Alligator mississippiensis: one gene and its partner. The protein of the gene in region 1 purifies or fractionates together with the protein of each later gene. This does not show direct contact. Links are inferred from orthologs where the notes say so. Each region holds a gene or a part of one and is shown in the gene's direction. Other genes may lie near its edges.

The links.
Region 2: the proteins of CNOT6 (region 1) and TNKS1BP1 purify together in Homo sapiens (affinity purification with mass spectrometry; 3 studies listed by BioGRID and IntAct, with this or other methods). This does not show direct contact. The link is inferred for Alligator mississippiensis from reciprocal best matches to the Homo sapiens genes CNOT6 and TNKS1BP1.

Annotation. Positions count from the first base shown.
Region 1 is NC_081832.1:73,958,915-73,974,146, forward strand, and holds the start of CNOT6 (CCR4-NOT transcription complex subunit 6), read left to right. Parts: upstream 1-7,827; 5' UTR 7,828-7,948; intron 7,949-11,922; exon of another isoform or gene 11,923-12,030; intron 12,031-14,025; exon of another isoform or gene 14,026-14,136; intron 14,137-15,232. UniProt on the Homo sapiens protein: Poly(A) nuclease with 3'-5' RNase activity.
Region 2 is NC_081825.1:172,865,550-172,880,877, forward strand, and holds the start of TNKS1BP1 (182 kDa tankyrase-1-binding protein), read left to right. Parts: upstream 1-9,302; 5' UTR 9,303-9,406; intron 9,407-14,027; exon of another isoform or gene 14,028-14,189; intron 14,190-14,745; 5' UTR 14,746-14,755; coding exon 14,756-14,897; intron 14,898-15,328. Other genes in the region: FACT complex subunit SSRP1, read left to right, coding at 472-600, 2,017-2,238, 2,607-2,679, 3,328-3,466, 3,782-3,827, 4,880-5,003, 5,672-5,842, 6,108-6,199 and 2 more.

The DNA of each region.
Region 1 (15,232 bases):
TAGAGTGAGGAACTCAGCTAGGCAGCAAGAAAGCATCAAAATGTACACGCTGAAAGAGGTACAAATTTAGAAGTTTTGAGTATATATTTTTTAATTTCCTCTGACCTTATCTTAGCCATGTATTTCCTCAAGTGTAATATCACTCTTCCTAAGAAAGGTTAAAGTCAATTCAACCAGCAGGAAAGTACTTATACAATTAAAACCTAATTATGGATTACAAAACTAAGTTTTGCTGTGCTTTTGCAACTGCTAGTAGGAAAATTAAGTAAAATACTTGTGGTGTCCAAAAAAATATGATTTGACTTCCCAGATATTATTATTTTTCCCCTCTGTTAATGGCTCTTTATGCCCTAGAACTCAATTTGATAAGAATGACCTTTTTATATAAAACTTCTAATCAGCTAGCTACAGGCCAAATTTAATAATCTTGAACATATCATGACCAATGTGTAATAAGGAGCAAGAGGAAGGTTACTTCTAGTGACATGGAAAGTATACAAAAGCCAGACATTTTTATGCATAATTTATTGAACTGCCATAGAACTCACTGCAAAAGACATAAAAGGAACTTCTGGATAATTTAGTACAAAAGAGTAAGTCTTATCCAACATAACAGATCAGTGCATAAACCGGTTTCGATTACTATTAAAAAAAATTGAGTTATCAATTTACAAACAGTAGTCAAAACATAATTCATCATAGATGCCCCACATAGTGTCATACTAATGTAAGCGATGATAAATTCACAGAAAATCCTCTGTGACAATGTATGGATCCAATATTCAGAAATCCATCATGTCCTCTAATTACAAGGATAGCTTGCCCAAAGGGTGAAGACAGGGCATTACATATGTACATACCATTCTAGTTTACCACCAAAACAACTGCAGCTTGGATGACCAGTGGCAACCTATAGAAAACGGCAAGACAGTTGAGAACTGTAAAAAGCAATGAAACAGCAGGGAGAAATTTAAGCAGAGAGAAGCTTCTTTGACTTTGCTGGGAATCAGATCAGACCCCAAGTGAGAACTAGCGGAGTACACCTGGTTTAACGCACGCACATTTCCTCAAAGACAGGGTCTCTTGCAGCATAGCATTCCAGGATTTCAGTGGTCAGCGAGAGGAAAAGCATCACCCCCTAAATCACCAACATCATTTCCCCAGCATAAAGGTTTCCTTGGAGAGCTCTCATTCAAGTACCAGCCTGGCCCAGTCCTGCTTAGTTTCAGATGTAACAGGAACGCAGCCTGAGATATTTCAACGTGTTTAAATCCCCAAATGTTTTTGGTTTAGAAAAAAAAGCTTTAACAATTTGAAGAAGCCAATGACATTAAGGGCTGGGAAGCTTTCACAATGGAGAATTACTCTGGAGACAGGATGTTAAATAGAATTGTGGTGGCTCTCTCATTAAGAAAAAATACATGCTTTTTACCGTCCCCAAGTAAATCCTCCAGTAGAAGGAATTTACCCATTGATAAGAAGTTTGTCATCTTGGTCCTTTTGCACACTGGAACTTCCTAGCCGTTATATGAAATACATCAAGATCATACATCCGTTATATGAAATACATCAAGATCATACATCCTGAGTCACCTAAGGGGAAAATGTTATACGGTAGAGACAGATGGGATCAGGTTGCTAGTATTTTTCCTATTATTAAAGGAAAGCACTGAATGAGAGAGTGAATAGAGATTAGCATTATAGCGGATCAAAAAAGAGTGCAAATATGGACACAAAGACGAGAGATAGAAAAGACGTCTCTGAACAGGTACCATGGCATGTTGTTAAAACTCCCCCCTTGTGATGTTAAAAGTCTTTTCATTCCACATTCTATTTGGAAAATTATCACGGCCAGACAAACTTAGTAATATTTAGCACTTATATAAGCACTCTGTGTTGAAGCATTTTAAAAGGTTAGAAGAATGCAGCTAAGATTGGTTAGGTGTCTTGCCTGAGGGTACTTAACTAAGAAAGTGATAAAGCAACAAAACTTTATTTGGGTTTTTAAAAGTGCCCCCATCCATTACTCTGTATGTTATATTTAAAAAAAATAAAGTGATAAAACCTCTGTGACTGTTAACAGCACTGTGCAAATTCCAGGTCTTTAGCAACATATGGCAAGATTCTGTAATGACAATCTAACCAAACTTTAAGTGATTTTGAGCTGCCAAATAAAAGCAGTAGCTGGGTGAATGCAAAGCTATACAAAGTTATCCAAATGATTCAATGCTTAATATGAATCTTAACAAATATTTCAGTTTTTCCACACTCTAGGGTTATATTTAGCCAAATGGGGCTGCAAAAGGTGTTATTAAAGATAAAATACCCATTTGCTAAACTGCAGGTGCAAATAGCATGGTTCATAAACCTATTTCCTTACTGTACAATTTGCTTCCCAGCCTGAGCATCAGTCTCAGTTCCTTCTTCGCTTAGTGCTGCCCAAGGCTTTTTACTCTTAACAGCATCTCCCCTATGAAGTAAAGGTGCTGTTCAAGAGTTTGTGCCTAAAGTACTTCTGCAGTACTGGGGCTGAATATCCATCTTAGATTACTATCAGAGTCAACATAATATATTAGAATCACTTAAAAATACTTAACTGAAATACAGTCTTATTAACACACTTAATATCAATGGAAAGCCAACAGAATATACAAACAAGGCCACAAAGCATCAGGTCGGTGGACATATGGGGCCTACACACACAGTCAAGCTAAGCCCTGGCATGTGCAAATTTAACTTGCAGTGACTTTAGTAGGAGTGTGCTTGCTTACTTTAGGCCTTAATTTGGTCTTCACTATTTTCTAAGGGTTCAAGAAGCCAGTACTGCATAGAAACACCAAAAAACAAACATGCCAAAGAGGTTTGATAGGTGTGGCCACAGTTCGCCAGTACACAAACATTTATGGAGCCATTCAACATATTTAGTTGGAGCTTTTATTTGATATTAAAACTGTGAAACTTTGGAAAATGGAAAGCCAAGACTGCACATTCAAATATCATTCCTGATTTAATAAACAAGCAGCAATTTTATCTCCAAAATGTGAAACTATAAGCTGAAGTCCACCAAATGCAAAAGCTTAATGACTACTGTTCTCCCACTGAGCTCACATATGTACCAACTCTCGCCAAGAACCAGTCCCGCTCTCCTTTCTTAGTGCTCTGAGCTTTGCTTCCATATTATTGTCTTGATTTCAGCCTATCAAAATGGTTGCCTCTTTGAAGAGTTAGGAAGAGCTGGACAGTGAACCCTGAGGGAAAAAAAAAAAAAAAATCTAGCAGGGGACTGGGGTGATAATTAGTAGCCAGAAAACACAACGCAGAAATACTCCAGTATATTTAATGCAATTCGAAACCAGTTTCTTGCTGATCCTCATGTGTGGCTTTATAGTGGGGAAGAATGAGTGCTTTTAGGGTCAGGCCCACACTACAAATTTGTCAGTAGAGCTATGTAGCCTATTGGTACAAAGAAGAAGAAGAAAGAAAAAAAAAAAAAAAATCAAACCTCTTAGCTGACACAGCTGCAAAACCTCTGGTATGGATGTAGCTCTGCCAGTAGAAGAGTGTTATTTGATGGCTAGCTTGTATTGTGAAGGAGGTTAACTACACCAGCAGAAAACCTCCTTTTGTTGGTGTATGCTACATCTACACTGGGGGGAGGGGGCATGCTGCTGACATAGCTATCCCAGCGTAACTAAAGCAACAGGAGCTTCGTAGTATAGACAAGCCCTAGACTAATTGCTTTGATGCTGTAGTATCAGATGTACTAGAAAGCATCAGCAATTAAATGCTCCTACAGACAATGGCCTAATTCAACCATGAATCACTCTCAAAGCAAGCTCCATCCTGTGCACTAAGAAGTAGGAGTACTACAAAAATGTAATATACAACTAGGCTTGGCAGAATTTTTTTATGATTTTGATGGATAGCATCAATGTTTATTTTCAAGCATTTGCTTCAATTTTTATCTATTTAAATTTTCAGGACCATGAGAAATTAGGGATGTGGGGAACAGACAATTTATTAATGGCAGTATACTATTATTATAGTGCGATTTACCTGCCCACCACAACAAACATTACTGTAGGACTGTTCTCTGCTGAATAACAGAGCTACCATCAGTCCTGGCTTGGCTTGCCTGTAGCTCCCTTGTCTGCTTTGTCACTTCCTCTTCCTTTGCTCCCAGTCCCCTGGGGTTTCTGGGAGTTACAGTCCAAATGAGTCAGAAGTGTTGTAGGACTGCTCACCCTGTTGTCTCACACACCATCAGCCAGCATTTTCCTTATGTCCCCCTTCTATAAATTTTGATTATTAACAATGGAAATATTCTTTCATCAGCGTGCAAGAAGTGAAATCAACTTTTATCAAGGTTTATCATTAAAAATCAAATCCCACCAAGCCTATACACAACTGAACCCTAAATAAGTAATCTGAATTCTGGCAGTAAGTCTTGAGACTTGACTTCACAAAAATCAATGGAACACACTTTTGTTTGTTTGTTTTTAATAATTTGATGCAATTCACAGCATTTGCAAATGAGCAAAATGAAAGTTTTAATCATGCAGAATCATATTGACAAGGCCTTAACTTGGATCATTAGCAGGGTTGGGACTAGTTCCATAACTCGGGTATCTGCCAGTTGTGCTAACAAAGTAACCAGAAGCAACAGAAGGCTGTTATCCTCTAGGTCAGGGGTAGGCAATTATTTCAGCTGGAGGGCCGCTTAATGAGTTCTAGCAAGCTGTCAAGGGCTGCAAGAGTAGCCTCACCCCTTGACAATGAGCACCCCGAGGGCTTGCCACCTAATACTGCTAGCAGTGGGGGCAGGCATGGGAAGGGGGCACCTGGAGAGGTCCCCACGCCCTCCCACCCTCACCCATACCCTATCCACCCAAGTTCCTGCTGCCTGCTGGGTGCAGGCTCCACACTCCTGCCAGCTCCAGCCCCATGCTCCCACTGAGCTGCAGCTTTCCTCTGCCCACTGCTGCTTCCCTACCTGTTCCGTGGTGCAAGTGCTGCAGCAGGGATACGAGAAGTTGCTGGAGGCCGGGGAAGCCAAGCAGGTCCCCCGGTGGCTGCAGCACTGGCCCTGCCTAGAAGTTGTGCGAGCTGGCCAGGGCCAGGGCCCTCCTAGGCATGAGAATGGGGGTGAACCATGTGGGCTGGGTGGGGTACAATTGCTGGGTAGCCATGGACTGGATGGTGGGTCAGGTCTGGCTGGCAGGCTGCATTTTGCCCACCTCTGCTCTATGTGGACCTGCCACTAGAGGGTGATGAAACATACATTCAGCCAGTGGGTTTCACAGCCATCTACTTAACTGCAAAGGACTCTGGGGGTCCAATCCAGTTTGTGCACAAAAATACACTACAGTGGTTACAAATGATCTTGTGCTCACCCCCACCCTCCAGTTTCCCACAAGCCTTTCCAGGGTCCTTATCTTCTCTGCTCCTGCTTATTCCCCCTTTCCTTCCCCACCCCACTCATTACTCTGCATTCCAGTCAAGCTGCTCCTCCTCTCCCTCCACGCTGACTGGGCACCAACGAGTCATCTGCAGGAGACTGCAGACCATGCAGCCTCAGCCAGAGCATGCTCCCACACTCTTGCTGGATGGTGCTCATGCAATCCAGTTCGTATACAGGAGCTGTGAAGGGCTGGAGCCTGCTCACCAATTCATGGATTGTTAAGGGCTGGAAGGGACCTTGCAAGATCATCAGGTCCAGCCCCCTGTACTAGGTAAGAAAGATAACTGGGGGTCAGGTGACCCCAGCAAGGTGACTGTGCAGGTTCCTCTTGAAGATTTCCAGGGTAGGTGATTGCACCACCTCTGGAGGGAGTTTATTCCACTGTCTGGATACCCTAACTGTGAAGAAGTTTTTCCTAGTGTTAAGCCTGAAACAGTCTTCCAGGAGTTTGTGGCCATTACTCCTGGTTCTCCCCAAGGGTGCCCTGGTGAACAGTTGCTTGCCGAGCCCTCAACGTACTCCCCTGATGTAGCAGTAAGCTGCTACAAGGTCCCCTCTTAGCCTTCTCTTTTATAGGCTGAAGAGGCCCAAGTCCCTCAGCCTTTCCTCATGTGGCTTGCCTTGCAAGCCTCTGATTGTATGGCTGGCTCGTCTCTGGAGTCTCTCTCTCAAGCTTTTCCACATCCTCGTTGAAGTGCGGCACCCAGAACTGGACGCAGTACTCCAGCTGCGGTCTCGCCAATGCCGCGGAAAGCGGAAAAATCACTTCCTCGGTTTTGCTGGAGATGCATAGATCGATGCACGCCAGAGTATTATCTGCCCTACTGGCTACAGCATCGCGCTGACGGCTCATGTTCGTACTATGGTCTGTTATTACCCCCAGCTCCCTTTCAGTCGTTTGGCGTCACCGAGCCTGCCGGTGTGTTGGGGGGCTGTTCGTCCCCAGGTGGATCCAGCACTTTACACTTCTCGGTGTTGAATTTCATCTGGCTCCGATCCGCCCAATGGTAGATGCTGAAGAATTCGGAAGCCAAACGAGTTTCCCCTGCGCACCTGGAAACACGTTTTCACAGGCTTATACCTAGACCAAATTTGAGAGTTTACTCAGGGGAAAAGCAAAGGTAACCAAAGGCACCCTCCATGTCACGTCTCTTGCATGGCCTCCAATCACCAAAGCATTGAAGCTTCGCAAGAACAGCCGTACGAATTTTTCAGTGTGGACCGATTTCCCCCCTCCTTAACCTGACTGAACCGTTTGCACTGACACTTATCAAAACCCATTTTTAGCCTGTAACGGACGCCCAGCATGACGCACGTCAGCTCGAACGGTTACAACGCGCCGAGTTAAAAACAGGATCTTATAACGGCGTTGGACAGCCTCGAGTACAGACAGTGAGCGCTCGTTTCTTTTTGAGAAGAGCTCCTCGTAATGAAGGAGAACAGAACATCTGCGAACTTCTTGCTTAAACACGACGATTAACTCTCGCCTTAATGCAGGGTGGGCAAAACGCGATCCCGGGGGCCGGATGCGGCCCGCCAGCCCAGTCTATCCAGCCCGCGGGCCCCTAAAAAATATAGAAAATTAATATCGACCTGCCCCCGGCTGCCCGTCACGCGGGACCTCGACGGCTTGCTAAAAATCGGTAAGCAGCCCCCCGCCCAAAATAACTGCCTGCCCCGGCCTTAACCGGACCCGGGCACATCTCAACGGGCCCAAGCGGACGGCGCGCCGCATCCCGACCGCCCCAGACGCACGGGCGAGGTCGCGAGCAAGTGACAGACAGATGGACGGACAGGTCCACCTTCCCACGGGCAAATTTAAACGCTGCGGTTTTAAGAGGCATGATGGAAAGTTTCAGCCAGAAGATGTACATACACGACGCCTTCTCTCTCTCTCTCTATGGAAATATATTTTAATAATAATAATAATTAAAAGAAAGGTCTCCCTTCCCCGCCGCGGCGCACAGGAGACGGAGCGAGGGTGCCCCAGTCAAGGAGATAGCTAACCCCTCTTCACACCAGCGCGCTGCAGGGACGAGGGAGGCCGGCACCGGGGGGAGGACGAGTAAGACTCGGAGCAAAGCGTGGGGCTGGCCGGGCCGATGCCCCCCACCGCCGGCAGAGCCCCGCAGACCTCCCCGCGCGCTCCCTCCTGCAGCTCCCCGACACGTACCTCCACTTCGCTGCGCCGCGCCACCAGGCCTGACACCGCCTGAGGAGCCCAACGGCCGCAACGGTCGCGGCGGCGTCACGTGGGTCGCGCTGGCCAATGGCGCGCGGGCGGGGGCGGGGCCACGGGGCGGGGGGAGGGGGTGCGGGGGGCGCCCGCAGCCGCCGCCATGATGCTTGTTTGCTTTCAATGAGTGTGAGGAGGAGGAGGCGGAGGCTGGGGGGAGCCGCTCTCCCGTCCGGCCCGCGGCAGGAAACAAAGAGCCAGGCAGGCGGCGGAGCGAGGGCGGCGGGGGGACGGGGATGCTGCAGCCACAGGTACGGGCGGGAGCCGGGGGGGGGGCCGCGCCCCCCACCCCGTGGGAGGGGGCGGCCCTCATGGAGGGGGGGGAGGGGCGATGTATTTATCGCCGTCCTGAGCTTGGATATTGGGGTGCGATGGCGGGGTGCTGACCCGGTGGCGAAGGCAGCTAGGCGAGGGGGGGGGCACACTGATGAGAAACGGGGTGCAGGGGGGGGGGTGCCTGTGGGGACACGCCACGACCCGGGGAAATGACATCCGTCTGCTAATTGTCCCTCTCCCAGATTGCCCCCCGACAGCTGGAAAAAGGATGCATCTTTTAAAAATATATATCTGTTTATGTATGTATGTATGAGCTAGAGGCGAGGAGTGAACAAAACCGGGGCCTCGACGGGAACTGTCTCCTGCCCCGGGAGAAGCTTGCACTGGCGCTGGCTGCTGGAGCCGAGGCCTAGCTGGCGAGGAGGAGGAGGAGGAGAAGGCCACAGCAGCGACCGCCAGTGCTTTCTGCCTGGGTGAGAAATAGAAAGGGAGAGCGGTGGTGAGCGGGAGTGACGGCGCTGCCGTCCAATGCAGGCAGCCGGGGGGGCGGGCTCGCGGTGACACGCAGGTAAGCGACTGGGCCGCCGAGACCGGGGGACACACGCATGCAGGGATAAACAGAGAGGGATCCGGACGTGCGGCCCTTGGGCTCCTGCCAAAAAAACAACTTTGTTCGGTGCGTCTCGGGCAGGGCGGCGTGCGCCTCTTTGGGAGCGGGAGCGATGTCGGGCGCTCTGCTCCGTCCGGGGACGAAGCTCGCGTGCCTCTGGTTACTCCCGTAATTGAGAAGTTGCGGGGAGGGAGGGGATTGCCGTCCTTTGTCACACGCTGGCACAAATGAGCGGTGCGTAAGCACTTCTGAACTGGGTACGAGACCTAGTGTTTTTATGCTTTTTTTTTAAAGCCTTTTTAAAAGCCCGATACAGTAGTTGCTGTACATCCAGCTACCTGGGTTTGAAGCTTTTAAAGGCTAGTTTGGCCTCGCACTTAAAAGCCTGTTTCTTCAAAATCTACCTGATTCTTATAGGTTACCTGACCTATAATGTTTACAGGAATTGTAATCCCTAAGTGAAATGCATTATTCTTTCAATATGAGAAGTATGTATAAAGCAAACTTAGGTGTTTTTGTGTAATAATCTAAAGGTGGAAAATTAGTTTCATGTCACTTTTAGGCAAATATATACTTTATAATCATGGTTGAAGCTCTTTGGTTACCATATTTCAGGGAGTTATTTTATTTAACAGGATTTCACTGTGATAGATGACAGTTGCACAAAGTTCAAGGGATTGAGGAATACCTGTGGTAATTGTTACTTGCAAAGGTTTGCAAGCATTGACTGGTAATTGTATTGTATCTTGCATTTTTTTTTCATCCTAGAGCAGGTCTCGTAATTGGGAATTTATCAACATTTCCACTGAGGTAATTTTACAGGATTATCCACCCTGTGTTCTTCCTGCTGGTTCATCTGGACTCTGGAGTTTGCAGCTAGCAATGAAGCCTTCTGTGGGGGTTTATTCACGCTGTTACTGAAATGGAGCCATTCACATTTGGATTAACTCTTTATTTACTTTTCACCTGAAACACTTGGATCTGTCCATATGCACAAAGGAGACTACCATGCATCTCTATTGTGTTGCATATTGAAGTTGAACTCTGGGTGCAGTCTTGATGTGTTCAGGCTGGTTGTTTTGCTTGAATTTTAGAGGAAGAACTGAAATATAGATGAGACTATAATACTGCATGGGCAGGTAACTATTTTTGACACATGCAGATCTCTTTATTAAAGAAAAAGTATGTAGTGCCCTTGAGTTTGAAGTGGAGGAAAAACCACTAAGACCAGGCTATTCCAGAGATGAGCAAGAAAAGAGCTGTTTTAGTAACCTGGTACATGGTTTTGTTTGGAGAAAGTCCCCTTGAAAAATGGAAGGAACACTTCCAAGGCTGGCTGAAACAAGATTCACAAGTCTTTCACTTCAACAGAAAGCATCCTTCTCATAAAATAAACAGAATATAGAAAAAATTGCAGCTACACAGCATAGGACCAAACCTAAGAAGGCCAAGGCTTTTTGTGCATAGTACAAAGTGCATTATTTATTATTTGTATTACTCTGGTGCCTAGACGCCACAGTCATGGGCCAGAAGCCTGTTGTTCTGTGCTAATAGAACAAAGATAGTCCCTCCCCTAAAGCCCATTTCCTCTGTTTTCTCTTCCAGCAGAATGCTGAAGTCAACAAGTATTCTGTTTTTCATCCTGTCATGTAATCTTGGATGCGTGTGAGAATTGAATAGCTTGTAACATGGCAGCCTTGGTTCAGATGAAGCCAAAAACCATGGATTTTGTATGTGTTGTATATCAGATACATCATGATCAGATCAGGCACAAGATACATAAAGACATATGCTCCTAATCAGTATTCTTACTAGCCTCTTTTGAGAAGTAAATATGTGAAGGAAGGCTCCTTTTTATTGTTAGTGTCTAAGCATACATCAGATATTAGCTATTGCTCTTTCCATAAACTTTTTGTTGAGCAGAAAAAGAGTGCAATTACATAGTGTCATGTTGAAAAGAAAATAATATAAAGCTTAACACCTAATAAGAATATCCATGTATTTAAGGCAGCAGACTGAGCTGCAGTATCTGGATTTTTTCCTAATTCTAATATAGTCATTCCTAATTCTAATGTAGACAGTTTAATATAGGCACTGCCCTAGGTCAAACAGCACATCTTGTTCTTTAATCTATATATTGATAATTATACATCCTACAAGGATGTGTGTACACTAAATTTATTAATCCTTGCCAAATATTGACATGACAGATGCTATGTACTTTTTGGAAGTCTTATACTAAATTATTCAGAGTAGATTCAAAGCAACAGTGGTTCATCTTGTATCTAGCTGTTTTGTATTCTCTTTCCAATCCAGTTTTTATGCTTCCACTTGGAGGTATAATCGTACAAATGCTGTGCAGGATCATTAACATAGTATTAAGTCATAGAATTTCTTACAAGTTACCACATTTTAATTAGGCTGTAAATGTCCACTTGGCATGGAAAGTTGGCCCATGTTTTTGTAATCATACATACACAATTTTCATATCAAATGAATTTTTGCAGCTAAAGTAAAAAGCTTGAAAAAACAAACAAGCAAAAGAACAACAAACCTGTTAACTGCTTGGACACAATGCGTGTTAGCTACCTTACTTGGAGGTAGTTTGTTACCAAAACAGTCTTGATAGGTATACATTTTATGTTTGAGAACTGGAAGACTTTCTGTATTCAGTGGTCAAGTCTGCCTTCTGTAAAAGAAAAAAGAACCAGGCAGTGTTTGAGGAGAGGAGAAGGACAAAACCTGCAGATAGTTTGAGGCTTTGGAAAAGCAATTGTTGGAGTGTTGAACAGCACTAGTACTGTAAAAGAGCACTGAGGAGATCTGCAGACTAGGCCCTTGCTGCAGAATTCCAACACTGTTGGGGGGAGGCTCCGTGTTGGCTGGCTTAAGATTTCCTTTAGAGTGAGGCTAGGTATTGTTGCTCTTCTCTTGCACACCTTTATTTCTTGTGAGCTGGGAATGCTCCTGCAGACCAAGTATCCTACAATGTAAGCACCTTCCTGCTCCTAGCCTGTGCTGTGGGGGCTGACTATCAGTCCCCTGACTGCAGCATCTCAAAGTCTCTCAGTTCTTTCCTTTCTGGTGTCATTAAGTTAAGTAGCAATGCTTAGAGTTGATTTGAGGCAGCACACCAGGTAGAGAGGGGTTTATAGCATGTGCTGTAAAACCTACCTATTCTGTGAATAAGAGAGGCTGTAGTATTAGTGTAAAGCCATCACCTGTTGTGCTGCCCCATGCCATATAATTTCTAGAGTTTTGCTGTATGCTGTAGTTTAGGCTCAGTGTGTTGCATATTACAAAGAATCTGGGTACTCTTACTGCTGTGGCTAGTTTAGGAAAAAAAAAAAAAAAAACAACAAACAAACCAAACTTAAAATGACTAAATTATGGATCCTGCAAGTTGATGCGACTTCAGTGAAGGTCCATAGAAGTACAGGGATCTGCCTGTAGGATCAGAAATGAACGTGTTACATTTAAATGGCTGCTCATGAGCAGACAGTCTTTCAAGTGTTTTTTTTTTTTTTTTTTAATCATATGCAAGGAACACCTACAAATATTGTAAGGTATGAAGTTAAACCAAAACAAAAAGGAGGACCCAGTGAACTATCTGTTGGTAGCAGGCCCAAGATTTTTAGGACAGTCTTTGTGCCAAACTGTTTGACAACACTTTAAAGCTTATGAACAAGAGATTTATTGTGAAAGTTATATATGTAGCTGTATGCCACAGAAAGCTCTTGGGAAAGCTTGAGATTCAAACTTAATTATGGCTTACATTTTTCAAGTTATTCTGACATTGGTCACCCATAATTCAAATATGTTGGCTTAAAGACAGATTTATCAATTTATTTTCACATGCTTATCCTTACAGAACATAGAACTAATGTTTTCTTTTGAATATCCATGAACTCTTTAATAGTTAAGATGCTTATAATAATTATGCATGAGCACATTGCCATTTATCAGCTAGCACTCTCAAAGTAGAGGTGGGCTAGATCCATACCTTGGACTCAGGATATTTTTTGGGCTGCACAATGTGGGTGCACAGTTCAAAGTGTAAAGTAATGAAATCCCATTAAAAAAAAAAAAAAAGACTACTTTAGAGCTGGGTAGTACTTGTCTGCTGTGCTGCCAGCTTCACATAGCGATGCTAAAGTTAGACTTCTGTTTTGTTACTGCCAATGCACCCTGAAGTCTTAATTAAGAATACTGTAACTTCTTAAGTGACTTATAATTGGAATTCTGTGACCCACCTTTGGCAGGGGATCAAGTGCCCCTTCCCCATTTCCCCATGCACTGCAGTAAAACAGGTTGTGTTGCACGATTTCTAGTGTGGCTTTTATCTGAATGCATTCTAGTTGATAAATGCTGGTTGTCTAAAAGGAAATCTCACTCATTTTTGGAGAAGTGCCTAGTATATGCTCTGTTTCAAGAAATTATTTTTTCACTTAATTTTGTAAAATATTCAGATGCTGTGACTTCTTTACTCTGTATTAAAAAGGTATTTGAAAAAGTGTGCGTATATAAGATATACTGTGCATATGGCACTTAATGGACAATTTTCACATGCCTGGCTAGTAGAATTCTTAATGCAAAAGCTAAACATATTTACGTGAGGTCTGAATGGGCACATCTACATGTTCATTAATGCGCATTAGTTACTGCAGGGGTGTAGGTTGTAGCCGTGTTGGTCTAAGGACATAGGCAGACAAGATTCCTTGGGTGAATTTGATATCTTTTATTAGACCAACCCAAATAGTTGGAGAATAGTTATTAAGCAAGCTTTCGGGTTCAAAAACCCTTCTTTGGGCTAAGGAAGCTTCAGCAGTTGGTGTGCTCTTCCTGGATGGAATTCATTCTTCCTTAGCCTGACAAAGGGTTTTTGAACCCGAAAGCTTGCTTAATAACTATTCTCCAATTATTTGGGTTGGTCTAATAAAAGATATCAAATTCACCCAAGGAATCTTGTCTGCCATTAGTTACTGCACATTTAACTTAGTGCTTGCTTAATGAAGTACTAACTAAATGTGCAGTAAACTAGAGTTACTGGGCAGTAGCACTGGCGCATGGGTTTTTAGTGATGCTTACTGCACAGTAGCCTAAGACTACTGCACAGTAGTGTATTAGCACGGTTTTTGCCTGGCACACTACTGGGAAATGTTATTAGGCTATGGCGCATTAAGTGTCTCATGTAGACATGCCCAGTGCATCTAAAGAAGCCTTTCTGATTTTATGGCTGAATTGTAGGCCTGTATATAGTGCTAACCTGGGTATAAACCACTGACTTATGAGTTGAAATGACAGTGAAATGAACACAAGAATTCTAGCAGTGCCAGCACCACAGGTTGCAATACACTGCACTGGCTTGTTGAATAACTTGAGTCCAAGATAGCTTGGTCCTAGACTTTTTAAAATGCTGGAGGTGAAATGGGACATCCTTACCTTGTGGCAATTTAGTTCTGTGGTCTAGTTCTGAAAGCAGTGTGTCCAACTCGCTGATTAAAATCCAGTTTATGGGTGTTCAAGGAATTCTTTATCCTCCCTTTGTCTTGACTATGGAGAAGAAGAAACACACACACACACAGGGAAGGTTTTTAAACTTCTAGGTTTGGATTCTGTTAGAAAATATTTGTGTGCATATTTTGACAGAAATAGGATTAATTTAGCTTTGGGTCTTATCTGTTTTGCAGCTTTCCTCAGTCATGTGCTTCCTAATGTGGGCTTAATTTGGAACATTGCAAAGCTGATGACAGAGTATGCAAAATGTCCTTACCTTTTTCTGGCAAACTTTTACTAGTCTATATCACTAAGTCAAGTCATTAAAGGATTAGATATGAAAGAGTACTATTACCATTTACTCAGATAATGCACTGTTCTGGGGTCTTGTGTAGCTGATGGGTACATATTGGCCCATGAAGAGTTAATTCATACATCTATAAATTTAATTGAATTGACAGCTGAGCTCCATTTTCCATGATCAGATTGGGTACAAGATACATAAAAACATATGTTTGTACTCAGTGGTATTCTTACTAATCCCTTTGTTCTTATGCATTTGGATTTGTAGTATTCAAATGTTTGTTTTTTAATATATTTGGTCCTATGCAAGGGGGCGGGGGGGTGCTAAAATTTTGTATAATGCCTAGCAGAAGCCTTAATTTGGACTGAACTTTGTGTCTAATCCAGGCAGTTCTAAATATCTTGTTTTTCCAGGGTTCCATTTTTCAAGGAATGGGCTAGGCTTTTTGAGCCACTTTTGGGGTAGAAATAATCTATGCACACCCAGATCACTTGCATCAGGATGTGGCTTTTTTGTTTAGATAGCTGTGGAAGGTTAGAAGCAGAGGGTATGAGCCTCTTGACTGTATCTATAGCCTGAAATGCTGGTGTCAGTATTAAAATATACTGCATCAGTCTGTGGCAGCTGATGAGGGTATTTTATAAGTTCCTATGTTTAGACACTTAAGGAATTTTCTTTAGGAAGGTGATCCTGATACAAGACCAAGTTCTGAACTCCTTTTTCAAACTCCAGTTGAGGACAATGGCAGTTCTGCTGAGTAAGAACCAAGAGTCTATTTTTGCCACCCTTAATCACACTGAGCTGCATCTTACTCTGCACCTTAGTCCCACTGAAAGGCAGTGTTGTAAC
Region 2 (15,328 bases), on another chromosome or scaffold:
CTTTACTTTGGTGTAATATACTATAATCCTATGTGGGAATCCTATTCTGGGAAAACCTCAGTAAAATATATTGGTGTAGATGTCTTGTGTCCTCAGCTATCCCAGCGTAGCAGTTGGTTCAATGCAAACTGGCTGTGGCATCCTTCCCTGACACCTTGTGGTGAGGCACTGTAATAATGCTTACTGCAGCATCTGTCCAGAGATCACTTATAGTCTGTGGTCTAGACACTAGTGGCATTTTATATTGGTGTTAACGTGCCTTATGTCCAGGACATCATTCTTTTGGTGTTCTGGGAGCAGATGTGGTTGTCTTATTTCCCCTAGTCTTCTTGCTAGTCCTGCTTTTACCATGTGCAGAGGCCTCTTTGTGATCTGATCTCTCTGTTGGTACAAAATCTCCTGGGCCTCTGGGTGTCTGTGGGTTCAGACTTATCTCTCTTCTTACTGCTGACTTTCTGTTCTGCCCCTTAGGGAGGAGGTGGAGAAGCGATTTGAGGGCCGGCTCACGAAAAATATGTCCGGCTCCCTGTACGAGATGGTCAGCCGGGTCATGAAAGCGCTAGTGAACCGCAAGATCACTGTACCTGGCAACTTCCAGGGGTGAGGCATAGTGTGTGCTGGGGGGTGGGTGTTGGACCCTGCAGCAGGAAAACCCAGTGTTTTGGGGCATGGGGAATGGGATGTTAGGCTTTGCCTGACTGAGACTGACTCTGGTCTGGCCCCAGAGTAGGGGGGCTGCTTAGCATAAGAGGACAGGGAATGGTCTGTATAGCTTCTTTCTAGGGGGTATTGGTTTCAGTTTGTTCCAGGTCAGGTGGGACTGACTGGTTCTGAGGCAGGGGCAGGCAATTATTTCAGGCGGAGAACTGCTTATCGATTTTTAGCAAGCTGTCGAGGGCCGCATGGGTAGCCCCGCCCCTTGATAGGTACCCTGCCCCTGGGTCTTGGGACTGGAAGTCCCGCCCTCTAAGCTCTGACCTTTGCCACCAGAAGTCCCTCCCCATGTTCCCAGAAGTACTCCTTTCAGCGAGGGGTTTTGCCATCTTGGAACCAGAAAAATACCAAATTATATTCTAAAAAGCAAACATCTACAACATCCATTAATTTGATTTCAAAAAACATTTTTGCCTTGATTTACATGTGTTTGTGTGGTGTGCATAGAGGTGATTGCACAATAGTTTAAATTGAAGTCTCACACTTGTATATTGTGGAGGGGGGTGTAGGTTTGTTGGGGGCTGTGGGCATGGGGGTGTGGATATATGGGGTGTGGGTGGGTATGGGGTTCTTGGGTGGGGGACTGTGTGGAGGGAGGGTGGCTGGGGTTTGTGTATGGCAGTGTGAAGGGGGTGTGTGGGGATAGGGAGAGTCCCACATGCACACTCTGCCCCTGCCTACACGTGTGCATGCACCCGCACACTGCCCCTGCCAACATGCAGGCACACATCCCCGTACCACCGGGGCCCTGTGCTCCCCAGTCTGGCCATGAAGCCAGGAGCACCATGTGGTGCTAGAGCAGGGTGAGGGCAGGAAGTGGGGAAATAGCTGGGGGTGGGTGTGGCTGGGCTCCTGCCTCCTGCTGCCAGCTCTCCCTGGGTTCTCCTGCCCAGTGCCTGTTGTCTTTGACAGGCAGCCAGGAGCAGATAAATATTTTCTAAATATTTTAGGGGGTCCCGCGGGCTAGATTTTGCCTGCTCTTGCTCTGAGAAGACTCAGAGCTGCCCCCGTGGGAGAGATTTCAATGGTCCATAAGCTGCTCTGCCCAAGACAGTGGTACTAAACTCTCTCTTCTCGCATTGTGACACAGAGCTGCCTGTGAGAAGGGTTTCAAATATGATAGGGGAGGGCTTCTGCCTCACAGTGCCAAGAGCTGAGGCTTCTTATCTTGATATGGCTGACCATGTTAGTGTTTGGGGAGAGTGGGGATTGCCCCTGTATGACTGGACTGTGGGCAAGTGCCTGCACATGGACCCTTTATGTGTATAACCCAGCTGTGTGTTCCCTCCCTGGCCCGCACAGGCACTCAGGGGCCCAGTGCATCACCTGCTCCTACAAGGCCAGCTCAGGGCTGCTGTACCCACTGGAGCGTGGGTTCATCTACGTGCACAAGCCCCCTGTGCACATCCGCTTTGACGAGATCTCCTTTGTCAACTTTGCCCGTGGGACCACTACCACCCGCTCCTTTGACTTTGAGATTGAGACCAAGCAGGCCACACAGTACACCTTCAGCAGCATAGAACGGTAAGCATCCCTACCTCTGTCCCAGCATCCGTTCATCTTTCACCCACCACTGCATGTGGTACATCTTCAGGAGCATAGAGAGGTGATTGTGCTTCACCCAAATGCTGACTGATTGCTTAGATCCTATAGGTGCACAAGCAGCCGTCCTCTTCCATTCCCTCACAGCTTCCCCCCCCCCCCCCCCAGCTCCCTGGGTGATTCATTACTGATGTTCCATGCCTCCTGGGTTGGGCTCCTCTCCCTTGCCACAGTGCCGTCCTCCCCCAGGTATTTGGCTGTGCCCCACATATACTGTGGGCCTGCCAGTGGTGTGTTGGTTGGGTGAGTGTTGGGCCTGGCCTTCTTGTGACTGCTGTTTGGTCCTGCAGGGAAGAGTATGGGAAGCTTTTTGACTTTGTCAATGCCAAGAAGCTGAACATCAAGAACCGAGGACACAAGGAGGTACTGGCAGGGTGGGGGCAGGGATGGCAGGGTTGGCCTGGCCCCCCTTTCCCACTACTGCTCTGGAATTGCTCCCCGACTGGCCAGGGGTGCGTGGGGGAGGGGCTGGGCTGGGCCAGGGCTTCTTTCTTCTGCTCCAGATTCGGCCTCTATTTCATTTTCTCTTCTTTCCTTGCCCTTGTAGAAGAAAAAGGTCCGTCCGATTCCCCTCTTCTTCCTCCTCCTCCTCCTCCTGGTGCAGGTTTCCTGTGCATGGCTGTGGTGATCCCTACTAACCCCCATAACCATGCATGAGCCATAAGAGGGAAGGGGGGGGCTGTTGCTCCCTGCTTTTCCCCTTGAGTGGGCTTCACTTACCCCAGTTCACACCACTGGTGTTCCCCGCACCGTCCCCAGAGCGAGGGGCACGCTGGACGTGTGCTGACCTTCGTCTGTGGACTGCATGCCGCCTCTGCTCAGAGTGCTGGGGCCACCATGTGTGGAGTTGACTCCTAGGGTCAGGGCAGTGCCCAGGAGCATGCTGGGAGTTGTAGTTCTAGGTTCTCCGCATGCTAGGGTGGGGAGGAGAGTGTCTGTCTGCCCCTCTTTGAGGGTGGGAAAGGGGAAAGGGTGGAGAGCAGCACTCACTGCTTCCCCATGGTGCTCCAGGACATCAAGCAGAGCTACGATGAATATGCTGATTCAGATGAGGACCAGCATGACGCCTACCTGGAGAGGATGAAGGAAGAGGGCAAGATCCGTGAGGAGAATGCCAATGACAGCAGCGATGAGTCTGGGGAAGAGACAGGTGAGGGCCCTGCCTTCGGGTAGGGTGGGATAGGTGGGGCAGGAGCAGCATTGGTGCTGACTGTTTCCTAGTGCTCCTCTCCTTGCAGCTGAGAGCTCTCCCTAGCTGAGACCTGGGAGATTCTGCCTCCTTGCGGTGGGTGGTTGGGGCTATTGACTCAGTCTCAGTGGTGCGGAGTGGGGAGGTCCTGTCTCCTTTATTTGGTCCTTTCCCAGACTCCTGAGAGCTTCCACTGCTGGGTGACTGCTGTGTACCTCCTGCCTAGCCTGCCATGACCCCCAGCAGTCAGACTGACTTGTATGCTTTTTCTTCCAGATGAGTCATTCAACCCTGGGGAGGAGGATGATGATGTGGCAGAGGAGTGAGTAGGGGCTGGGGGGGGGGGGGGGGGCTGTTCCTATTTCTGGGTGGATGGGTAGGTGGGTGTCCCTTGATACGCTCTTGGCATGGCCTAAGTGGTGCTACCAGTGCCAGCCTGGCTGTGGTGGTTGAGGGTGCTATGGCTTGGCATAGGTGCCTACCCCTCACAGTGCCCACCAGTTCTAGATCCCTGGCTTAGTGGTAGGAGGGAATCTTGACAGGGGATGCTGTCAGTGCCATCTTCTCTAGGAGATGTGAGACTGACCTGCTTGCCCCTCTGCTGGGGCTTTTCACAGGAGTTGCGGGGAATATTAAGCAAAGCAGCACCTGAGCAATGTGGCTTGGCTAACTAGTGAGGCTCCAGTTGGATTCTTCACTTTCTGCCCCCATTGTAGCACTGCCACAAGCAAGGAAGCAGCTACTATCTTTCCCCTCTGATCTGGCTGCATTTCTGTAGCAGGTTCTGTCTGCATCTAAAGTTCTTGAGCTAGCTACCTATAAGTTCTTTGGGGGAAGGTGCCTAACACCCTGGGACAAGGGCTCTGATGTTCTGTGCCCATCCCAGGCACTGCGATGAGGTATGAGGTTTGGTCTTTCCTCTTGTCTTTGGTCAGGCTCTGTGCTTCAGAATGGTCTTTTGATGAGAGCTGATGTTCTTAGATTGTACCTTGGCCAGAGGGATTCCTGAGAGAGCAGGAAAACAGGCCAAGGGGCTTGCTCTTTGAGGTCACCACTCACTTGGGAGTCCCTCAAGGGGGAAAGATGAGGGGAGGGTACAGGGCCCTATTGGAGAATTGCAGAACCAGAACAAGACATTACAGCTTGTTCCCAGGGACAGGCTAGGCCCTGGCTTCTCTCTGGGTAAGGGCTGGCTTCTGTGTAAAATGCATCTACCCCTATAGCTAAGGTCTCAGAGGTGGCCTCTTTATGTCATGCCCCCAGATAACCTTCATTTTTGTCCTCGCTAAAGCACCTTCTTGGAGTTTGCGATCCCTGCCCCCAGTAACTCTTCTGGGCATGGGGCTGATTCCCAGCTGATGCTTCCTCCTGCAGATTCAACAGCCATCCCTCAGCCAGCTCCTCTAGTGGTGATGGTGACAGTGACCGTGACGAGAAGAAACCAGCCAAGAAGGCCAAGATTGTCAGGGAGCGCAAACCTCGCAAGAAACAGTTGGAGGTGAGGGCTGTGCCCAGGCAAGGGGAGAAACGAGATGGGGTTGGATGCAGTGGTCCCCAGTGCTTTCTACAACCAAGCAACATCCTCTGTCCTGGGAGGATGAGTGTCAGCTTCACTCCTCACTAGCTTGCCTTGCTCCTGCCCTGCAGGGATCCTCTGTTGGCACGTGAAGACCCAGGTCTTCATGCTACTGACGTGGCCAGTGAGTACCCTGAGCTCTGGGAAGCTGGTCTGACACTCCTGCTCCCCCTGACCTGACTTCCCACAAGGCAGTGACCAGTCTGTAGAGGGGGTGACTTTGACTTAGACTCTGCTTGTGGCCCACTTGCCAAGCCCAGGATAGCTCTGTAGCCTCCCTCCACCCCTGCCAGTCCAGTTCTGTCAGCTCAGTGTATCATCTGAGCCCTAATAGCAATTTTCTGTCCAGGTAGAGCTCCATCAGGAATAATTCCCCTCCAAAGGGCTTGTGTTGCTGGGGCCCAGTGGATGTCCTGGCTGTGGGAGGGGGTGTCCCACTCTAGCCATGCTGTTAATGGGGCTTGAGTGGGGAATGACCTCAGCCCTTGCTATGAGGAGGTCCTCTGAGCCCATGAGCTCTAAGGGGATCTCATGCTGCTTCTCTCTCTTTCCCCTTCTCCCTCCCTTGCTGCCCCCTTCCACTGTCCCAGGGTAAGAAAAGCAAGGACCCCGATGCCCCTAAGCGGCCAATGTCTGCCTACATGCTCTGGCTAAATGCTAGTCGTGAGAAGATAAAATCAGACCACCCTGGCATCAGCATCACTGACTTGTCCAAGAAGGCTGGGGAGCTCTGGAAGGCCATGTCCAGGGAGAAGAAAGAGGTAAAGGACTGGGAGGAGCTGTGGTAGCATGTTTGAATTGTTAGGGTAGTGTGGGTGTGACGGGGCTGCCAGGATGGTGTTGGTAGGTCTGTGCTTGGGGGATGCCATCCTCTGGCCCTTAGGATGGTTGGGTGGCTTGCTGAGTTGTGAGATTGCCAGTTGGGGGTGGGATGGTGTATGGTGCAGGAGTAGCAGCATGTTGGGTGGGGGGCAGGGGTGGAATTGCTGTTGTGGGTTTGTGACTGACGCTTTGCACTTCCAACAGGTGTGGGAACGCAAGGCAGAAGATGCCAAGAGAGACTATGAGAAGGCCATGAAAGAATACAGTGTTGGGGGCAAATCAGAGAGCTCCAGGACGTGAGTGCACCAGCCTTTGGGGAACCCAGGGGGGAGGGTGGGAGTGATAAGGAGTCATGTCTCCTTTTGGAGGACCCATTCTGCCCGGGGAAGGTGAGCGAGATTGTGGTGAATGACTTCTGTTCCCTCCCATTATGGTGGAGCCTGGGCACTTCCCCAGGGTGGGGTGAGCAAGTCCCCCATGGCTCTACCATCCCAGAGGCAGGGACCCAGGTGGTGGCTGTGGGTAACCTCTGTGCCCGGTGGCTCTCTTGTATTTAGGGAGAAGTCAAAAAAGAAGAAGAAGAAGCAGGAGAAACAGGTGAAGGGGAAAGTGGAGAAGAAGGGGGTGTCTTCCAAGTCTCCATCTTCGAAGTCCCCAGTCAAGCCCACCACTGAAAGCTTCAAGAGCAAGGAGTTTGTCTCCAGTGATGAAAGCTCCTCAGGCGAGAGCAAGAAGGAGGTAGGTGCAGCACTGCCTTCCATGGGTGGGGGGCCCCATCCTCCAGCTGGCTGCTGTACCCATGGCTCTTGCATGTGTCACCGGCTGACTCTCTCTTTTCATGCATTCCCCCAGGACTCGGAGGAGGAGGAGATTGCCAGCACACCCCCCAGCTCAGAGGACTCAGCATCTGGCTCAGATTAGAGAACCTACCCCTGCCCTCCCTTCAGCCCTGCCCCTTGAGCCAATGGCACTCTTCTTAGGTCAGCAGGGCAAGGCCCAGTCCTCTGCACCCAGGTTTCCCGTCATCCAACTGGGAGGACTGGAGGGGTGGGTGTCATACTGAGGTCTACACCATTGGCTAGAACCAGACCTTGGCTCTGCTCCTTCCCTGATGCCTCTGCCCTGGCCCCAGCCACCTCCTGCTGTGTCCTGCTCCCTGAGCTCTACCATCCTTCACAGCTCCTGCTGGTGAGGGTTTAGGAAGCACACACTTCCTTTCTTTGCATGTCACTGAAGGTTACTTGGGGGGTCCTTTGTGTGATAGGCTGTGAAGAGTGTGGTGGGGGAGTGTTGGGGAGGTGGCTGCAAGGGCTCCTAGGCCCCTCGCTTTCTTGCCCTATCAGTGTTTTTATGTTCCGATTTGTTTCTTTTTTTTGTATTTCTGGGCTGCCACATGGGTTGAATTAAAAATCAAGTGTCTTTGGACAGAGCTTCTTTGTGGGTAAACAAAGAGGGATGGAATGAGTGGGGACACAGACAAAGAGCTGTGTCTGCCCAAGAGAGATCTACACCCTCACCCATAGGGGACCTGCCAGGTTTGCTTGTGCCAGGTGCATATCTCTGGCACTTCGGTGCGTGTGTGACACTCCCCACAATGCTGAGTTGGGGCCAGAGCCTTATCTTACTGCCTTCCATTAAGACTGCTGGCCCCTGCAGGTGGCTGCAGCAGCCCTAATTGTGTTAAAGGGCCATCTAGCCTTTTCAGAGCAGCCTAATGGAGGCAGGCAGTCAATAGAGAGCAGTCTTAAGATGAGCTTGGGGGCTCTGCCCTAACTCCCAGGAGGGAGGGGCAGACTACCATCTGGTACCACTGCCACTTTCAAGGAGGACTTAAATCAGCCACCCCTGCTGCAGACAGGTGGAATCAGGAGCTCAGCTCTGCCCTACCATGCAGGAGGCATAAGGAGGAGGCTACATCTTGCCATTTCTGCCCTTCCCCATCTCCCGGCGATTTAGTGTCATTTTCTACTCCACCTTTGGGCCTGTAGCTCTTATCCTCTTAATCAGTAACAGCCAGGAGAGGAGGGGGAGAAGCTCTGTAAAGTGGATCAGCAGATGGATGGGTCTACTTCCATTACAGCTCTCTCCCCACTACGTTCCTGCCAAGGCGTGCTAATCTGACCTGGGGAATGCGTCCTGATCAGATTAGTGCCTATTACCGGACCTCAGTACTCCATTAGAGGAGCTACAGGAGACCTTCCGGCTCCATTTCCCATCACCTGTGACGCAGAGCTGCTTCTCTGTCTTCTTTAATTGAATCAGTGCTGAGCTGTCTTGCTGAGAACTGTCTTTGGAGCTCTTGGAGAGGGGGAAGAGAGCTGTGCCTGGTGAGGGGGAGGGGAGGTGGAATGTGCTAGGCAGCCTGGGGCCCTTCCGAGCCAGCCAGCCGGAGGTTAATATTTGTGCAGATGGAGGATGCCCTGCTTATGAAATTCCCTAGGCTCCCATTTCCATCAGCTTAGTTTTCTGGAGGTTATTTACTGGAACCTCCCAGTTGCCAGCAGTTAATTGGGAAGGAGATGCGCTAATGGCAGCTAAAGCAACTCCTCCATCCAGGCAGCATGCACCTGTCTTTATACTGGTCCTGTGAGCCAGATAAAGCACTGGGGGCTCTCCCTCACTTTGCAGGGGGTGCTGCCTCCTTTCTGGGTGCAGAAGGAAGGAGTACAGGGTGGTGTTGGGTAACATACAGAAGTTGTGGGGAGGGCTGCTCAACACTGGTGTGATAGTGGGTGGCTGTTGGGAGAGGGGGCATGTTGAAGAGAAGGTTTTGCATCCAGTGTACTGAGAAGTGCTTGCCCCAGCTTCCGTTGTTTGTCGCTGCAGCTCGGGCAGGCTTTGGGGAGCAGGACAGGGAGAGCTGTGGACGGCGGGGGTGATTGTGTGGAGGGGTGCAAGAGTGGAGGGGCTTCACCTGAACTAGCTTTAGAGCTCCAGCACCACGATCCTGCTTGCCCTCCAGAGGGGGCCCCAGGGAAGGCGGGCTGCAAGGGCCATCTAGTCCCGTCCTGCCCTCGAGGTAGGGTCATCCCTAAGTAAGTTGAAGGGAGGCTGTCTCCCAGGCAGGGGTTGAGAAGCCGGGGTGTAAATTTTGGGTTTAAAATTCCTAACGCACTGGTTAAAGCGTGCCGCACCAGGTTTAGCTGCTCAAGCTGTGCGGGACGGGCCCTGGGCGCGGGGGGGCGACACGCGAGGAGCGCCCCTGGGCACGACGGAGCTACAGCCCTAGCTCCTGCATGGTCGGAGCCCCCCGCCGGGGGGGGCTGCAGGCGCCTGGACCTGGGGCAGCCGCGGGGCCGCTCTAGCCGCCCTCAATGGCACAGCGGAGCCCCGCCCCCCTCCCGCGGCTTGCGCAGCCGGCCCGCCATGACATGTTGGCGACACGTGAGCGGGGCGGGGCTACGGGCGGCAGCCGCGCGCCTCATGCATATGCAGCAGGGGCGGGCGGGGCTCATGAATATGCAGGGTGGAGGACGCGGGCGGTGCGGCGCGGAGCTTAGCGGGTGAGCGGCGGGGGTGCGGGACCCCGTGCGTGCCCGCCCGCCCGGCCGGCTGGCCGGGGCGGCGGGGTGCCGCGGGGCTGAGGCCGGGGGCGGCGCGGGGGGGGGCCTACGCGTGCGGCTGCGCGCGCAGGCGGGTGCGGGCCCCAGGCCCGGGCCGGGGCGGGGCCGCCCCGGGTGTGATCCGCGCGCCCCTGGGCCCTTGGGGCACAGGCTGGTGCCAAGGCGGGCGGGAGGGCGCTGCGGTGCGGTGCGGTGCAGTGCACACAGCGCGCCCCTTGCCAGGTTTTCTGGGGCTGGGGAGGCGGAGGAATGTTCCTGTTCCTGCCTCCGGGGCTTGGCTCCTTGTAGCTGCGTTGCAACCCCACCATGCCAAGTCATGAGACAAACACTTAAAAAAAAAATCAAGAGATTGGCATGTAAATCATGCGATGCTATTTTTGAAGTGTGTGCGTGTGTCAGGGGTTGTTTACGAAGGAGCTGGGGGATGAGGGTGGGGGGCCCTGCCTGTACTAGCAGGATGTGGGGTACTGTGGGTCAGGAGTGAGGGGCAGCAGCAAGGCTGGGGGGGCTGTGGCTTGGGAGTGAGGGACACACACACGGACACAGACACACACACACACGGACACACAGAGGGACAGCACCCAGCTGGTAAGTGGAGGGGAAGGGGCTTTGATCTGGCCCCTGTAGTGAGAGAAGGAGTGAGGCAGGGGCTGGGATAAATGTGGCCCCAGAGCCAGGGCAGGTCATCCAGGGGTGGGGGGCAGCTACCCACAGCTGTGCACACCCCCGGGGAGGCATGGAGTTCATGTGCCCCCCACGAGGCAGAGAGAGGCTGCAGGCTCAGAGCTCTGTGCCTTGGTGCCTTTGCCCCAGGAGCTCAGCCACACAGTGCCAGTATGTTTCCTGTTGTCAGGGGACATGCTGCGCGGCCAGTGCGCCCCATTAACCCCAGCTCCTACCCCACTCCCTCCCTCACCATAGGGGCCTCGATCTGCCCCCACTTCCTTTCCCCTCCACAAACTTACCAGCTGGGTGCACTCTATGCGCCAGTAGAAAAGTCCTGTGATTTGAGGGTTATATCCTGAGATCATGAGTTAGCGTTAATTTGATTTGGAAATCGGGAATCTCACAACTGTTTTGTGAGAGTTGGCATTGCTGCTGTAGTGATGGCACCACTAAGCCTTGATGCTTGGGCTTGCCCCACTCGGTCTCTCAGTCCCTAGAGCTGGTTTCACTCAGTTTCCTTTTGATTGTGGCTCCCAACTACCTTCCACCAAGCTGCTAGTGAGCTGTTCCTTTCTGGGGCAGGAGCAGAAGGCTCCATCTCTTTGCCTTTGCCCTTCTACTACAGGTGAACTTTTGGCTCCTAGTCATTGTATCTGAGGGTTCTTGCTCTAATATTCCTGGTCTGATGCTACACGCTATTCGTCCTCTGCTGGGAGTCCCCTGCTCTCGACCCTGGAGATAGCTGGGGCTTTCTTCTCATTTCGCCTTGGTTCCCTTATGCCCACTTCTCAGGGTGACCTGAGCGCTGATGGTAGCAACAGGCATGTGGTAGAGTCAGGCCTGTGCTGTAGTCTGCTGCTGGTTATAGCTCTGTTGGTCAGAAGGTGAAGAGTTGTGGTCCCTGACCAATACAGCTAGGCAACTGAAATGTCTAGCATAGACGCAAAGAAATTAAAAACTCTAGAACTCTTGGTTCAGAGATGATACCTTTTATAAGACTAAGACATTGCAAAAAAATTATCTTTTTTTGCAAGCATTTGGGCACATGTACCCTTTTTCAAGCTGAGGGAAGATGGTAAAAGTCCCCATAGGTAGAAAATAAACTTGCAAAGTTTTGCATTTCTTTTTGTCTCAGACCAGCACAGCTACCAAATACATCCTTGTAGCATAGACACAGGCATGCTGGCTTGGTCTTTTGGGAGACTGCATCCCTTTGGGGATGGTATAAACTCTTCTGGCAGAAGTGATCTTTTGTAGATAGGAAGGAGGTTGCTGACAGCAAAGCTTTTTCCAGCATAGACCAGGCCTGTGTCTGTACCAGGAGCACCCTGCTGCTACAGGGATGCTAGTGGGCTTTGCTGTGCTGTCTGTGTTCTTAGTGTGGACGTGGACAGCCTAGTAAAGTGGTGTTTTGTACTGATGTAACAATCCTTGTTCCATCAAAACCAGCTGTGCTAGTGAAAACAGGCTTTGGCTAATACTATGGCTCTTGATGCCCCTGGGCCAACACCTGTAGCATGGGCCTGGCCTGAATGAACTCATGAGAAGGATGACTGTCCCCCACCAAGAGCCTCTCTTACGCCCACGGCCTTCTCTCCTGTCAAGGTATCTTTTGGCCTGATCTGTCCCCCTCTTCCTAGAGCCCTTTGCTAGGAGATGTGCTCTGCCCCTGCCCCTTATATTCCCCCTCTTCTGAGTTCCTGGTTCCCCTCTCTCTTCAGAGGTCTGGATCCACTCTCTATGTTCCCACCTGGGTAGAAAATGCTGCCTGGCTTCCCTTCAGCTCAGCCTTTCCTGCCTTGAGCCCCTTTTCCAGGGACTGCCCAGCCCAGGAAACATAAATCAGCTCTTCTCCACTTGTCCCCCTTGATCTGCCTTCTCAGGATGCCCCCCATTGTGACCCCCTCTCCCTCTCTGCTATCTCTGGGGCCATCTGGCAGGTCTTTCATCTTGCCTAATTCTCTTCCCACTTGGTTCTGCACCTGGGGACAGAATGTGCTCTAATTGAATGGTGCTGTGCCGCACTTGGCTGCATCTAGCACTTGGCTGAGAGAGAGTGCCTGGGGACATGGCTGGAGAGATGCTCTGTGGGACAAATACTCGGGCATGCTTTCCTGATGGGGGCTGGCAGGGTGAGTTCAGGGGCATGTGTGGGGTTCCCCCAGTGGAGAGGGGGTAAGGTTTAGGAAGGACAGACTCCTTCCAGGAATGCCTTTATTGGACAATGCACCCCTCGGCAGGCTTTAGGAGAGGCCATATTTGGACCCTGGTCCTGGCTCAGAGTAGTCTGATGGTCCATAGTCTGTAGAATGACTGAGACTCACTCACTCATCTGTGAGATTGTACTACAGCTTTGCACGTCACTGGGGGTGACTAAGTCAGAAGCCCAGGTGATGCCAGAAGAGGGAGACTGGGCAGTGCCCAGCCAATGCTTTCTCAGTGGTGGGGAAAAGCAGGAGGAGTTATTGGAGGAAAGCCTGAGAATATAAGTTCTGAACTTGTGGAGCAAGAAGGGATATGGACATTATGGGGAGGGGGGGGCAGGGGGGGGGTGAAGCGTGGGTGGAAGGTAAGGATGTTGGCACCCGTGGGACAGATGAATTGGGTTATGGGGAGGGGACCCAGTGCAGAGGGAAGGACAGATACTGGTGCAGTTTTGAGGTGAGTCAGTGTCAGGAGGGGGCACAGTGTGGTTGGATATTCAGTGGCTTTTGGCACTACAGGCAGGGCTGTGTTGGGGTTTATGGAGGGGTCATAGTATGGATGGAGAGTTGGGGTATCAGCACCACTGGGGGACAAATTGGGGTCTAGGGAGGGGATGCAGTGTAGAAGGAGTGTCTACATATTGGGATAGGGGGTGTGCATCGGGGAAAGGGGGGGAACAGTGATTGGGGCAGTGTGTGGGGTAGGAGGTGTAGGGCACAAGGTGGGGGGGGTAAGATAGAAGGGGGTCATTGGGTCCTGCTCATGGCTCAATTCCCTACAGCCTGCCCCATGCTTTATGCAGTTGCTTTCTTGGCCCCTGCCTTGGCACTTTGCTGGCCTGGGAGTGGTCATGCCCTAGTAGCTGTGCAGGAGGAGGGGGGTGGGCTGAGCCTGGGGTCAGGGGAGACTCCGAGATGGTGTCCAGTCTTGGCTGTGCTAGGACACGCTCTCTGCTTGGCCACGATCTGGCCCTCTCCCGAAATCTAGTGGGAGGGTGTTGCCACAGCAACGGGACCAGGCCCTGGCTTTACCTCATTGAATTCCAGCACTGCGCCAAGTGATTGGGAAATGGAAGAGCTGGGGGGGAGTGTGGGATTGGGGGGGATGTCTTCCAGATGTGCCCTCCCCAGCTCTGTTTATCCGGGTTTGGACTGTGCAGCCGTGATGTCAGTTCCCTGGAGACTGGGTGGGGGGGGACCGTTCCCATAGCTCTGCAGGGGCAGGCAAGGGAGAGAGTGACAGGCAAGAGAAGGGGTTGGTGGGGGAGAAAGTGGGGCAGGGGAGGAGGAGAGAGGAAGGGAGGGGGCATGGAAGGGAAGGGCAGCACAGGAGGGGGAAAGGGTATGGAAGGGAGGAGTGGGGCAGGAGGAGGGGGCAGAACGGAAGGGCGGGCAAAGAAAGGAGTGAGGCAGGCGGGGAGGGGAAGGGTCATGGAATGGGGAGGATGGAGGGGCAGGGCAACAGGAGGCAGTGTGGTGGAGAAGGGGCAGCAAAGGGAGGAGCGTGGAGGGGCAGAACGGGGAGTGCAGCAAGGCGGAGGGAGGGGAAGGCAGGGGGAATGGGGTAAAAGAGGGTGTGGAAAGGGAGGAAGGTTGGGGGAGGGGGAAGGGAGGAGAGGGCAGGGCCAGACAAGGCACAGGCCCGCTGGGCTTGCAAAGCTAAGCCGAGCGGGTTTTTCCCGTCCCTGCAGCGTGAGTCACAGGAGCTTGTGCGAGACACCAGCTCTCTCCCTGCTCCAGCTCCCTCCCTCCCTCCCTGCTCCAGCTCCCGCTCCTTTTCTGTGCCTGTCCTGCTCAGGGCCTCTGACATTGCTGTGCTGTCCAAGCTCAGAGATGAGGCAGCTGCAGGGAAGGTGAGCCACATGGGGAAGGAAGGCATGCAATGGTGGGATCAAAAGGGGTGGCATCTGGTACCGGAAGGGAAAGAGTCTGGGGAAGTTGGGCATAGTGCGTGCGTGTTAGCACAGTGTATGGAGGAGGGGAGGGGAGGAACTGGGGGGCTGGCACTGTGCATAGGGCAGTTGTGAGTTGTGCATGGACTTGGGGTCCTGGAAGGTTGGGGTGCAGATAGGGCTATGTGGTGTTGGAGCTGAGGGGAGCTGGCTCTGATGGTAAGAGGCAGAACCCATGCCGTCCAGCTGGGTCTCAGCTGCTTCCCTTGCTGTGGGGCAAGGTGAACTGGGGGCAGGGTTGATACAAAGATGGGGCTGCAGGGTGCAGCTCTGGAAAGGGGTCTTTTCAGGAGGAGCTGGGGGGGAACTGACCAGCTAGGTGTGAGGGGACCAAATTCTGAGGGGTCTGCTGGGAAATCCTGTAGGGAGGCACTGTAGGGAGTGCATGTCCTGTAGGGAGGCACTACCTGTTCCTTTCCTGTCTCGTCATCCTGTAACATCCCTCTCCTCTCTATAGGGGCTGACGCATGCACTGCATCCATCAAGACTCAATTCCAGCTTCCACCATGGCCTTCCAGCCTCAGCCCCTGCACCCTCCATTTCCCTGCACCCCCTCCAATGGCAGTAGGGATGATGGGGCTGGGCAGCTGTCTGGTGGCCCTGAGTCAGGTCTGTGCTCTGGGGAAGAGGAGCTGAGTGGAGGTGGGATGTTTGGGCTTGGAGGGAGGGGTGGCAGAGTTCCTAATATTTCCCTGGAGCGAGAGGTGGGGAAAAGGTGGGGCAGGAAGTGTCACAGTTCAGGTGACACCAGGGAAGGATATTAGGAAATGGGGTGTGGGGTGCTAGCTCTGATCTACCTTGAGCCTGGGGGCCTTTGCTAGTTTAGGTAATGGGGAGTGGGATATGGGGCTTCTTCCCTCTAAGGGGCGTTGTCTCTTATTCTGCGTGAGGGTGGGAAGCAGGATCATGGGGCTGAGACCTTGATCACTTCCACTATTTTGAGGTCCATCTAGGAGACAGGTTTGAGTTCTCACTCTGGTACTGCCTTCACAGAACCCCCTTTGACACTGAGCACAGGCCCTGGACAGGGCTCCTCCCTT